3 linked regions of the Sus scrofa genome follow. The protein of the gene in region 3 purifies or fractionates together with the protein of the main gene of each other region. This does not show direct contact. Links are inferred from orthologs where the notes say so. Each region holds a gene or a part of one and is shown on either strand. Other genes may lie near its edges.

Region 1 (3,644 bases), on a different chromosome or scaffold from region 3:
GCTGTGTCGTAGGTGATACCCATACAAGAGGCTTTTGGGCAGGGGGTGTCTCCTTAAAATGTCAAAGACTTTTTCTGGTTTTTGACTTGGGACTGATCATTGGTCCACCAGCCCGTGGTGCCCAGCTGACTCCTTTCTCACGTCAAACACCTGAGTGTCTTCCAAGAGCCTGGGAGGATTTCCTTCCTCGCCAAGGCTCCTTCCCAGTGCTGCTGCAGGAACATTTCTTCTTCTTTCATCTGCCATCCCTCCTCTTCTCACTCCCACCTATCATTTCGTCTTTGAAATACTGTCTGCTGCTAAATGCCTTAACAGCTTGGCTTCTCTGGAGATCCCAGAAGCAGAATTCTCTTGGCTATTCCAAAGTTCCCATATACTCAGATTTCCCATGAGAAGGATTTAAGGTTGGGGCAGGATTGCTCTCCTCTTAAGTGATAATAGGTATAAACATCTATGCATTTTGACCTTTCTTTATACTCCTGTTTCTGTTCCAGAGATTAGCTTTTTTCGAGAATAACAGCAATTTGTTCTTGCTGATTTTTTTTTTTTTTTTTTGGTCTTTTGCAACCTGTGGATCTTCCTGTGCACTCCCTCCCCACCCCCCTTTAGGAACACCAAGCATTTATTTTGTTTGAATACTACTTTGACTTCCTAAATGTCCCTTCTTTCTTATACTCAGCAGATATATATTAAGCATCTATAATGTTTAAGACACTTGGTTGAATGTAGAATAAATACCCCAAGAGGGGAAGTGAGAGGATGGGAAGAACAGATTTAGCATGGAAGGTCTTAAGGTCAACTGAACGGTTTGCATTCTGTAAACAGAGGGAAGCATCAAAGGCTTTTTGGTTTTTTTTTTTGCCTTTTCTAGTGCTGCTTCCGCGGCATATGGAGGTTCTCAGGCTAGGGGTCAATCGAAGCTGTAGCATCTGGCCTATACCACAGCCACAGCAACTCGGGATCCAAGCCGCATCTGCAACCTACAGCACAGCTCACGGCAACGCCAGATCCTGAACCCCACTGAGCAAGGCCAGGGATCAAACCCACAACCTCACAGTTCCTAGTTGGATTCGTTAACCACTGAGCCATGACGGGAACTCCCAGCATCAAAGGCTTTTGAGTAGGAGAAGGACATGCTCTGAGCTAGGCTTACAAAGATGCCTTGGTCATTGATACACATGCTCAGCTGAAAGGAAGAAAGATTGGAGGTGAGGTGAGAAGTATTAGAAGGAAGGTTTAACTTTTTTATTACTGGCTGTATGAAAATGTAAAGGATGCTTCTGGAGTTCCCGTCATGGCTCAGTGGTTAATGAACCCGACTAGTAACCATGAGGTTGCTGGTTCGATCCCTGGCCTTGCTCAGTGAGTTAAGGATCTGGCGTTGCCATGAGCATGGTGTAGGTTGCAGGCACAGCTCAGATCTGCATTGCTGTGGCTGTGGTGTAGGCCGGTGGCTACAGCTCCGATTTGACCCCTAGCCTGGGAACCTCCATATGCCGTGGGTGCGGCCCTCAAAGGCCAAAAATATAAAATAAAATTTAAAAAAAATATAAAGGATGCTTCTAATTCTAGGTCATTGATCCGCTCATTGATCTGCAGTGGGATTTTGTTGAAATTCAAAATTAAATATTCCCTTTCCTGAGACTTTGTACTATGTGTCCCAACCTAGAGTAAATACAGATCAGAGAGGTGAATTTCTAAGCACACAGATCTGGGTTAAGAAAAAAGAATCATTACCCGAAAGTATTTATTTTGGGAAAACAGGCTCCCTTTTTTGTCAACCAGAATCTCACTGTTGACAGAACTGTATTTCCCCTAATGTGATATACCTCCTTGGAGGACTGGGTTACATGTGACAGAGGGAAATGGTAACGTAGAGAAAATGACCATTTCCTCTGTCTGCACCCAACACATGACCCTGTCTAAAATACTGTTGTCAGGAGTTCCTGTTGTGGCTCAGCGGAAACGAATCTGACTGGCAGCCATGAGGACACAGGTTCGATCCCTGGCCTCTCTCAGTGGGCTAAGGATCCAGCGTTTCCATGAGCTGTAGTGTAGGTCACAGACACAGCTCGGATCCCGAGTTGCTGTGACTATGGCTTAGGCCGGCAGCTATAGTTCCCATTCAACCCCTAGCCTGGGAACCTCCATATTCTGTGGGTACAGCCCTAAAAAAATAAAATAAAATACTGTTGTCAAATCCCTGTTAGGTTTCATTGCATATAATGGACCTGTTGCGTATTCACCAGTATTTAAAAGTTAACAACTCTGCTCACATCTTTTGAGAGGGCAGGCCTCGTTCAAATAAAGGTCAAGTCCGCATCCTCAAGTTGCACGCACCTTTTGGTGACTCCAGCATTTACTTTTACCATCACTAGCTTGCTGGCTTCTCCCCACAACACAGTGACACTTGTCAGTATAAATCAAGACTGGAGAAAGGGGAGTTCCCGCTGTGGCACAGTGGGTTAAGAATCCGACTGCTGTGACTCAGGTCACTGCAGAGCACCAGTTCATCCCCCCACTGGGTGCAGTGGATTAAAGGATCAGGTGTTGCTGCACCTGTGACATAGGTCTCAGCGGCAGCTCAGGAGTGCTGCTGGTACAGTCATTAAAAAAAAAAAAAAAAAAAGAATGGAGAGGAAGGAAATGTAGTTGGATTTTAAATAAAACTTTGAGTTTTTAGGTGGTTAGAAATTCAACAAAAATGCGCTTACGTGTTTCCTAAGGCCCAAGCTATGGCCCATGCTTGTGAGTTGATTCACCTTTGCTATTTTCCCAAATCATTGATTGCAAGTTGTGTCTTCAGTTTGCCTTTTATAAGATATGATACAGATTGTAAAAACGAGGTCATGTAACTCTAGTGCAACACAGTTACCATAGATACAGCTACTCTGAAAGTCTCTCTTCCTTTCCAGGGAACTTGGAGAAATTCCCACACTAAAAACACTACAAGTCTTTGGAATCGTGCCAGACGGTACCCTTCAACTGTTAAAAGAAGCCCTTCCTCATCTACAGATTAATTGTTCCCATTTTACCACCATTGCCAGGCCAACCATCGGCAACAAAAAGAACCAGGAGATATGGGGCATCAAATGCCGACTGACACTGCAGAAGCCCAGTTGTCTATGAAGTATCTGTTGCAGGATGGTGTCTCCTCTTTTCTTTGAACAGGGAAAGTAGGCAGGAAGCCCAGTTGCTGGAGAACTCAGCTATTTTTATTCTTGGTTTTCCCTTGCCTTCCTTCTCCAAGTATATTAGCGAACCATTCGAGAGAGAAAAAGACAAAGTGTTGCTTTGAAAAAATGACTCTGAAAGCTTTTATCACTGCTCTACCCCTAAGAGTCTTAAGTTGTAAGAGTCTAAGTTGTAGACCTTTTAAAATTTTAGGAGAGTGAGCCTATCATTTCAAGAGAGCTTAAAGAGCAAAATTTGAGCCACCTCTTCCAAGTGCCCTTCTTATTAAATTTATTTAGAATCATGCTTAAAAATCATCACCGGCGAATTATTTTCATAGCCTGTTTGGCAACTGAACGTTCTTCTATTTAATTTTTCAGTACTGCTTTGTAAGATGTAGATTGCAAGAATAATAAGCTATTGGTATTGTAAGCTGAACAGAATGAGAATCATAGAGTAGATTTGAGGCA
Region 2 (3,644 bases), on a different chromosome or scaffold from region 3:
TGCCTTGCTCAGTGGGTTAAGGATCCGGCATTGCCGTGAGCTGTGATGTGGGTGGTAGATGCGGCTTGGATCCCGCGTTGCTGTGGCTGTGGTGTAGGCCAGTGGCTACAGCTCCGATTAGACCCCAGCCTGGGAACCTCCATATGCCACTGGAGCAGCCCTAGAAAAGGCAAAAAGACAAAAAAAAAAATTATATATATATATATATATATATACACACACACTCCTCTCGCCCTCTTACATCTTGCTGTCTGAGATGGCCTAGACTCTCTGTGAAGTGTGTTTCTCCCAGCGCCGCTCTCTCTTGAGATGGCCTACACTTTGTCTCTAAATAAATCTACTTCTTACCTATCAAAAAATAAAAACATAAGAAAAATATATATTAATCACGACCCACTAAACCAATTTTAAGGCCTACTAGTAAGTTTGTGGTAGCTTCATTTTGTACCACCTTCATTTTGGAAAACAGTTTTTTAAGGAGATCGTGCTGTGATGCAGTAGATAAGAATCTAGATTCCGAAGTTTCCGTCATGGCTTAGCAGTAACAAACTCGATAGTTTCCATGAGGACGTGGGTTAGATCCCTGGCCTCGCTCAGTGGGTTAAGGGTCTGGTGTTGCCATGAGCTGCAGTATAGGTCGAAGACTCAGCTTGGATCCCATGTTTCTGTGGCTGTGGTGTAGGCCAGCAGCTGTAGCTCTGATTCAGCCACTAGCCTGGGAACTTTTGTATGCCATAGGTGTGGCCCTTGAAAGACCAAAAAAAAAAAAAAAAACTGAAAAAAGAATCCGTCTTTGGCCTAGGAACTTCCGTATGTCATGGTTAAGGCCGAAAAAGAAAACAAGCAAACAGAATAGTTTGTTTTTGTTTGTTTTAATTTTTTATGGCCACTTCCACGGCATATGGAAATTCCTGGGCTAGGAAACTTCGTCCTGGCAGCTGTAGTAATGCAGGATTCTTTAACCCACTGCGCCAGGCTGGGGATTGAATCCACGCCTCTGCAGTGACCTGAGCCACTATAGTCACATTTAACCCACTGTGCCTCAGTAGGAACTTCAAAACCAGTTTTTTGAGTAGCCAGTATCATGTTTATTCCCTGTTGGAATAGGGCAGGGGGAGAGGACTGGCTGGTGAATTGTACAGTGTAGCTGAAGAGGCAGGTCTTCCTCTTACTGGGCTCTCTTGGCTTCTGGGGGGAAGGGGGAGATTGGCTTGGTAACAGTCTTGTGATCTTTCTTCCCACGCCCAGCAAGTGCTGTGAAACTTAATAAGCAGCAGACGGACATCGCTGTGAACTGGGCTGGGGGCCTACACCATGCAAAGAAGTCCGAGGCATCTGGCTTCTGTTACGTCAATGATATCGTCTTGGCCATCCTGGAACTGCTAAAGTATGCCTGCCTGGCCTTGTCTCTTGGAGGAGCACCTTAGGCCAGGTTCCCACTTCCCTCTCCCCTGGGCTTGCCTCCCTAGTTTGCTTTTCCTAGCGGTGTGCTGGCTAGGATGTGTTCGGTGAGTGTCTCTGGCCATCTTCTTCTTGACGGGGTCTTGATTTGATCTGAGCCCACGGCAAGATAGGGGCAGGCGCTGCTCAGATCCTGCCTCCAGAGTGTCCCTGTGTGGCCGGAGTTGACCCTGGCTGTAGAGTAGGAAGATTGGACTTGGTCGCCTTGGTCAGGCCTCTGGAGACACCCTGCCGCTCTTCCACCTTCCTTCAGCCAGTTTCTACGTCTCTGGTGCTTAGAGATACCTGAGGGAGGCAGCCAGCCCGGTAAGCTGGGACCTGGCGCCCTTGGCGCGTCCCACTCCCAAGGAGCCCCCAGACCCCCTGACCCCCTTCTGATCCTAGGTATCACCAGAGGGTGCTGTATATTGACATTGATATTCACCACGGCGATGGCGTGGAAGAGGCCTTCTATACCACAGACCGAGTCATGACTGTGTCCTTTCATAAATATGGAGAGTACTTCCCAGGAACTGGGGACCTACGGGTGAGAACTCCCTTTAGGGGCCAACCAGCTCACCCTCAGCTGCCAGCTCTAAGTCTCCTATCTCATGTCACCAAAAACCACTTCCTGCCTCTTCTGCCGTTCAGAACATCACAACCTAGCTTGGGACACCTGCTATGATCTCTTTCCCTTTCTTATTCTGGAGGAAAGGAATGATGGTACATGAAGCTTTGGGAGGGATGGGGGTCTCCTGACTCATTGCACTTCCTCCTGGCCCCAGCCGGGTTGCATTACACTATTCACATATCCAGAAAGCTTGAATTCCAGGCTAAGAAACCTCAGGTTCTATCCAATGAGCTAGGAATTGGGACCTTTATGGACCATCTCAGGGGTTCTTAACATTCCCTTTGATCATCTGACTGAAAGCTCTGTACTGTCTCCCTGGGAAAGTACATGAAATTTTACATCTGATGGCAGATAGTTTATAGCACCTCCCCTTAGTGAAACCTATCCATGGACCTCTGGATAAGAATCCTTCAAAGCTGATTCATTTAACTGTTCTGCTTCTATTAGCATGAATACAATGAAACCAGCCACTTTGCAATACCAGTAGCCCTTGGGTGAAAAAGTGGCACTAATTCAGTTGTTTGCAATGGCAGGCCTTTGAATAATTGAGCATTTACAGTTTTGAAGAATTCTTCCCTTTCTGCTTTCCTTCTCGAGAGAATGGGAGGTAGAGGAGTGAGCATGCAAGCTCCCTGGCAAGGGAAGGGTTGTTGTGGGATGAGTGTTATTTTTTGTGGTCCAGCCCCCAGCCACCTTTAATCCAGTCCAAAGGGAGAGGTCTTGTGCTGTGGGGTAGGATATTCAAATCTCTGGCCCATAAATGGCCTCAGTGGTGTGTCCAGAGATGTGAGCTAGACTTGCCCTTGAGGGGAATGGTACTGACCTGCTCTGTCCCTGGCCCACCTCATGGGCCCAGCGTCTCTCTCTTAGAACCACTGCCTCCTTCCTTAGCCTTCCAGCCCCCATCCTTGAACTTCCTTCTAGCTTCATCTTTGAGTTTTACTTTAACTTTACTGTCCCTCTTGATTAGGATATTGGGGCTGGCAAAGGCAAGTATTATGCTGTTAACTACCCGCTCCGAGATGGGATTGATGACGAGTCCTATGAGGCCATTTTCAAGCCGGTAAGTGGCTTACCCAACCACCCTGGGCTATAGATGGGACTGATCTAAGGGAGGGGTAGCAACCCCCTAACATACTTCAGAAATCTCTCCCTGCTGAGAGGCTGGTTGGAAGTGAGATGTGTTTCAGCCCTTGTCTGCATGCTGCACGGCCAGTCAGGGGAACGGAATTCATCCAAATAGTTATCGATGCCGTCTCTGGAGCAGGCTCTCTGTTGGATCCAGGAATATTTAAGACAAGATCTATGCCCATGAAGACCTCACAGTCTATGGTATGGGAGGCAGGCACATCCCCAGAAGCATGTAGTCAGTGCTGTTTTTGAGGGATGAACAGAGGAGTGAGAGAGAAACTGCTTCCTGAGCTGAGGAAAGGGTATTCACAGGGGTGGTGATGTTTGAGTGGACATTGAGAAATGAGTTGCCCAGGTGAAGGAGGGTGGGGCCTGGAGGGGAAGGGTGGCATTCAGCAGAGGGAAGCACACCAGCAGCAGCACAGTGGTGCCAGTATGTAGT
Region 3 (4,404 bases):
ATTAGCTGCCTGGACCTGGAATATTAGTAAACCCTAATTCTCGGCGGGGAGGGGGCGCGGGAAGAACCCTCCCTTGAAGGGGGGTTGGTATTGCGTGCGCCCTTGCGAAGGGGAGGGGGCTTTTTAATAAGTTTTCTTTGAGCCTTTAACCTTAGGGTGTATGGTGGTTTGATGACACCAAACTATACTGAGGGGAGTAAATGAACATTTTTCTTAATGGGGGTCAGGTAGTGTAAAAACTAAAAAAAATAAAAAGTGAAGTATGCGTAAAATGTTCTTTCAATTTAAAAATAAGCACCGAAGAAGAGCCTGAATCTTTAACTTTAAAAAACGTCATATATTCTTTGATATGTCTTAAAAGTTTGGAATAATATTGGGGACTCTTGTATAACCACGAAGATACATAGGTTTTGTTTAAAATCATCAGATCAATACAGCCATTTCTGTAACCTGTAATTGTTCTGCTCTTTGCCAGCCCCTGCCATCCCCGTCAGGCTCACGAATGCAGCCCCAGGGCAAATTCTAAAGGTGAAGAGAGGTCCACACCCCCAACAAAACCAATTAGGAAGCTTCCGGTGGTCTCGTCCCAGGCGGAGAGGGGACTAGTAGTTCCAGGGATTTAACTTCATTTTTAATTTTTAAAAATGAGGCAGGACAGAGACCAGTATTTTGCAGCCTTCCTTTCAGGGTGTTTTTCTAGCTGTTAAATTGCCAGGACAGGGCAAGGATGGGGGGATTGGGGAACCCCCGCAAGAAAGGACTGGCCAAGGTGGGAAGACAGCCTGCAGATCCCCCAGGCGCGGAGGACAGGATGAAGGAAACGCTGGCCACCATCTTGGGCTGCTGCTGGAATTTTCGGGCATTTATTTTATTTTATTTTTGAGCGAGCGCATGCTAGGCTGAAATATGCTTAACCATTAGGGTTCCTCCCTCGGGCATTGCAACGACCCCCCTGTGTGCCGGAATGAAGCCTCCACAAGGGTTGCCGGCTCTGCGTCCCTGAATGTTAAATGGTTCCTGAAATTTACACGTGTTGATGAAAATGAAAGAAGACACAGAAGCTAAGATTCCTAGGCTGCCTCTCCGCCCGTGGGTGCCCTCGTGGCGTTTTCGGAAATGCACCCATTCTCCTGGCTCGGGTAGAGGGTGTCACCGAACCCCAGAGTCCCCCTTCCATGCGGTCTTGCCCGGCTGCGTGTGGCCTGCCCGCCCTCCTAGTCGTCCCCCTCTGCAGAGCCACCTATACACAACCCCCCAAATCCTAAGGGGCCCACTCGGGGTGGACAGGACCCCCCTGCACCCCTCTTCCCCGCGGGGCGATTTGCGTTTCTATGAAAACCAAGTTTCGGGGGCAACTCCGCTTAGGGCAGGCGCGGCGCCTCCGGGATGGCTTTTGGGCTCTGCCCCTCGCCGCTCCCCGGCGCTCGGCGCCCGCGCCCCCTCCCCCTGAGCCCGCCCCCCCTCCCTCCCGCTCCCATTCTCTGCCCGGCTTTGATCTCTGCTTAACAACAGTAACGTCACACGGACTACAGGGGAGTTCTGTTGGAAGTTGCAAAGTCCTAGAGCCTCCAGAGGGCTGTCGGCGCAGTAGCAGCGAGCAGCAGCGTCCGCGCGCTCCGGCGAGGGGCAGAAGAGCTCGAGGGAGCACGGGGGCAGCAGGAGCTAAAGCCGAACGCGGACCCAGCCCGGGACCCACCGCCGCCCCAAGCCGCCTAGCAGAGCCCCAGCCATGGCACACCAGCTCCTGTGCTGCGAGATGGAGACCATCCGCCGGGCGTACCCCGATGCCAACCTCCTCAACGATCGGGTGCTGCGGGCCATGCTCAAGGCGGAGGAGACCTGCTCGCCCTCCGTGTCCTACTTCAAGTGCGTGCAGAAGGAAATCCTGCCTTCCATGCGGAAGATCGTGGCCACCTGGATGCTGGAGGTGCGGGGCTTCGGGCGGCTCTCTTAGCACTTTTCTGCGACTTGTTGCGCAAACCCACATTTCTTTGCCACTCATCTCCCTCCCTTCTCTCTCACCCCAACTTTGAAGTTTGCTGGAGTGTTGCTAGGAATCGTAATTCCAAAATATATAGATATTGTGGGTATTTTTTGAACGAGGAAGAAGTGGGGGTGGGGTCATTAGAAATTCCCTTCGTGGGGGGGGGGGTCGAAGACGTGTACCTTCGGGCAAAGCCACTGTCAAGGGCACCCCAGTTGGCTTCAGGGTGTGGGCCCGCAGGCTGGGCGCCCTTTGTAGCCCCCGCCTGGACCGCCACCGCGCAGCCCCCGCCTGCGCCCGAGCCCCGCTGCGCCTCCTCTCCCCGCCGCGCGGCCGCTGAATCTCCAGCTCCAGGGGGAGGGGGCATAGATTTGATTTTTAAATTAATATCCATGGACACGTATGCAAGGGCCACTCGTGCCAGTATTATGCGCCATCTTTGTTCTTTTATTGCAAAGCAAAAGTGTTTATTAATAATTGGGGGCAGGGTGGGGGCGGGGAGCGACCGGCGAGGCGCTTGGGGCCGCCGCGAGGGGCCGCGCGGCCACCGGGAACCGGCGGGAGGGGCGCGGGGACAGAACTCGGGCAGTTGTGCGGGGACCCCACTCGGGAAAGAGGGCCCCTTTGTTAAAGCAGCGAGTCCCGGGGCGCCCCGCAAGGCCAGCTTGGGCCGGAGAGCACGCCGGGCTGCAAGGTCGTGTGGCCCCCAAGACGCTGGGGGCTGACTCTCATCTGCAGGGGTCTCAACTTGGGGGACCTGTGTGGAGGGAGCCGGGGGCCCGGGGCACGTTTTCAGGCCTTCAGTGGGCTCCTACGGGCACCGCAAGTATTTTAAAATAATTTCTGAAAGTGCGGCGTGGTGCCCTTGCGAGAGGGAAACGGCGCCCGCGCCCAGGGGGAGGGGGGCTCCGAGTTCGAATTCCTGGGGCTCTCCCCTGAGCCTGCAGCGAGCTCTCGACCCCCGGCCCGGGTAAAGGACCGCCCGAGGGTCATTTTCAGGGGTTTTTTATGTACCCAGTTATTTTTTTTATATTTTTAAATATTTTTTGAAAAGATGACGTCTGGGGAAATGCGGCTCGGCGGCCTGGGACGCCACCTTTGTGTCTCGCAGGCGCTGCGAGCGCGGCGCCCAGCCCCACGGCCCGCCCCACGGCCCTGCACCCCATTTGGTGCCCACCCCAAGCTTGGAGGGTCCCGAGGCACCCACGCGGGCCGGGGTCTCGGGGACCCGCAGCCCGCGAGCGGCACACGCCGCCCAGCAGTGCCCGCTCCCGCTCCACTGTGCCAGCCTCCCGGGGACTTTCCCTTTCAGTTTCGTGGTGGGTGGGCATTAGGGACTCTCGGGGGAGGGGGCGCGTCGGCAGAAGCTCCTGCCGCCCCCTGCCCCGACCCTCCGCACGCTCGGGTACCCGAAGCCAACCCTGGCGGGAGCGGGGCGGGGGACGCCAAGTCTCCGCAGAGGGGGCCGGGCGCTCCCGGCGGCGGCGGCGGTCACGGCCCCCGGTGCCCCTGCAGGTCTGCGAGGAGCAGAAGTGCGAGGAGGAGGTCTTCCCGCTGGCCATGAACTACCTGGACCGCTTCCTGTCCCTGGAGCCCGTGAAAAAGAGCCGCCTGCAGCTGCTGGGAGCCACCTGCATGTTCGTGGCCTCGAAGATGAAGGAGACCATCCCCCTGACGGCCGAGAAGTTGTGCATCTACACCGACAACTCCATCCGGCCGGACGAGCTGCTGGTAACCCTGGGACCCCCACCGCCCCGGGACCCTCCGTTAGCCGCGGGACCCCGGGGGTGGGGGAGGTGCGGGGAGCAGGCAGTCCCGGCGGGCCGCTGACACACTCTCGGCCCCCGGAGAGGACGGCCACGCTGGTGGGGCCCCTCTCGCGGAGCGGGCGGGAGCGGGTGAGACCCTCGCCGCCCCGCATCCTGGCTGCCCCGCCTCACCCTTTCTGTCCGACTCCCCCCGCGTCTGCTTCCCTAAGGCCGCGAAAAGTGGGCGACGCGCGCCCTCTAGCGGCAGCCTCGCGGAGCCTGCGCCAACGTCCCGGGCTCGCGTTCCAGGTGTGGGCGGTCTTCTGGTCCCCACTCGAGGAAGGGTCGGCTTAATTAAACGCAGGAGCCTTTGCCGGCGACACCCTTCCTGTATAGATGTGGGGTCGCGCTTTGTCCCTCCAGGTCCCGGACCCTCCAACGCCCCCCAGTCCTTTCTCCCCGCCCCCTGTCCCACTGGGATCCATGCCTGCGCCTCTCTTTATGCCCGGTCCCCCCATTTCCCCAGCAAATGGAGCTGCTCCTGGTGAACAAACTCAAGTGGAACCTGGCGGCCATGACCCCGCACGACTTCATCGAGCACTTCCTCTCCAAAATGCCGGTGGCCGAGGAGAACAAACAGATCATCCGCAAACACGCGCAGACCTTCGTCGC

What was found. Proteins that work in one complex are often made in the same cells at the same time.
Region 1: the proteins of CCND1 (region 3) and SKP2 purify together in Homo sapiens (affinity purification with western blotting; 3 studies listed by BioGRID, with this or other methods). This does not show direct contact. The link is inferred for Sus scrofa from reciprocal best matches to the Homo sapiens genes CCND1 and SKP2.
Region 2: the proteins of CCND1 (region 3) and HDAC1 purify together in Homo sapiens (affinity purification with western blotting; 3 studies listed by BioGRID, with this or other methods). This does not show direct contact. The link is inferred for Sus scrofa from reciprocal best matches to the Homo sapiens genes CCND1 and HDAC1.

Annotation. Positions count from the first base shown.
Region 1 is NC_010458.4:21,497,678-21,501,321, forward strand, and holds the end of SKP2 (S-phase kinase-associated protein 2), read left to right. Parts: intron 1-2,915; coding exon 2,916-3,129; 3' UTR 3,130-3,248; downstream 3,249-3,644. UniProt on the Homo sapiens protein: Substrate recognition component of a SCF (SKP1-CUL1-F-box protein) E3 ubiquitin-protein ligase complex which mediates the ubiquitination and subsequent proteasomal degradation of target proteins involved in cell cycle progression, signal transduction and transcription.
Region 2 is NC_010448.4:88,777,019-88,780,662, forward strand, and holds part of HDAC1 (histone deacetylase 1), read left to right. Parts: intron 1-1,248; coding exon 1,249-1,387; intron 1,388-1,845; coding exon 1,846-1,987; intron 1,988-3,041; coding exon 3,042-3,134; intron 3,135-3,644. UniProt on the Homo sapiens protein: Histone deacetylase that catalyzes the deacetylation of lysine residues on the N-terminal part of the core histones (H2A, H2B, H3 and H4).
Region 3 is NC_010444.4:3,630,459-3,634,862, reverse strand, and holds the start of CCND1 (G1/S-specific cyclin-D1), read left to right. Parts: upstream 1-1,482; 5' UTR 1,483-1,729; coding exon 1,730-1,927; intron 1,928-3,499; coding exon 3,500-3,715; intron 3,716-4,258; coding exon 4,259-4,404. UniProt on the Homo sapiens protein: Regulatory component of the cyclin D1-CDK4 (DC) complex that phosphorylates and inhibits members of the retinoblastoma (RB) protein family including RB1 and regulates the cell-cycle during G(1)/S transition.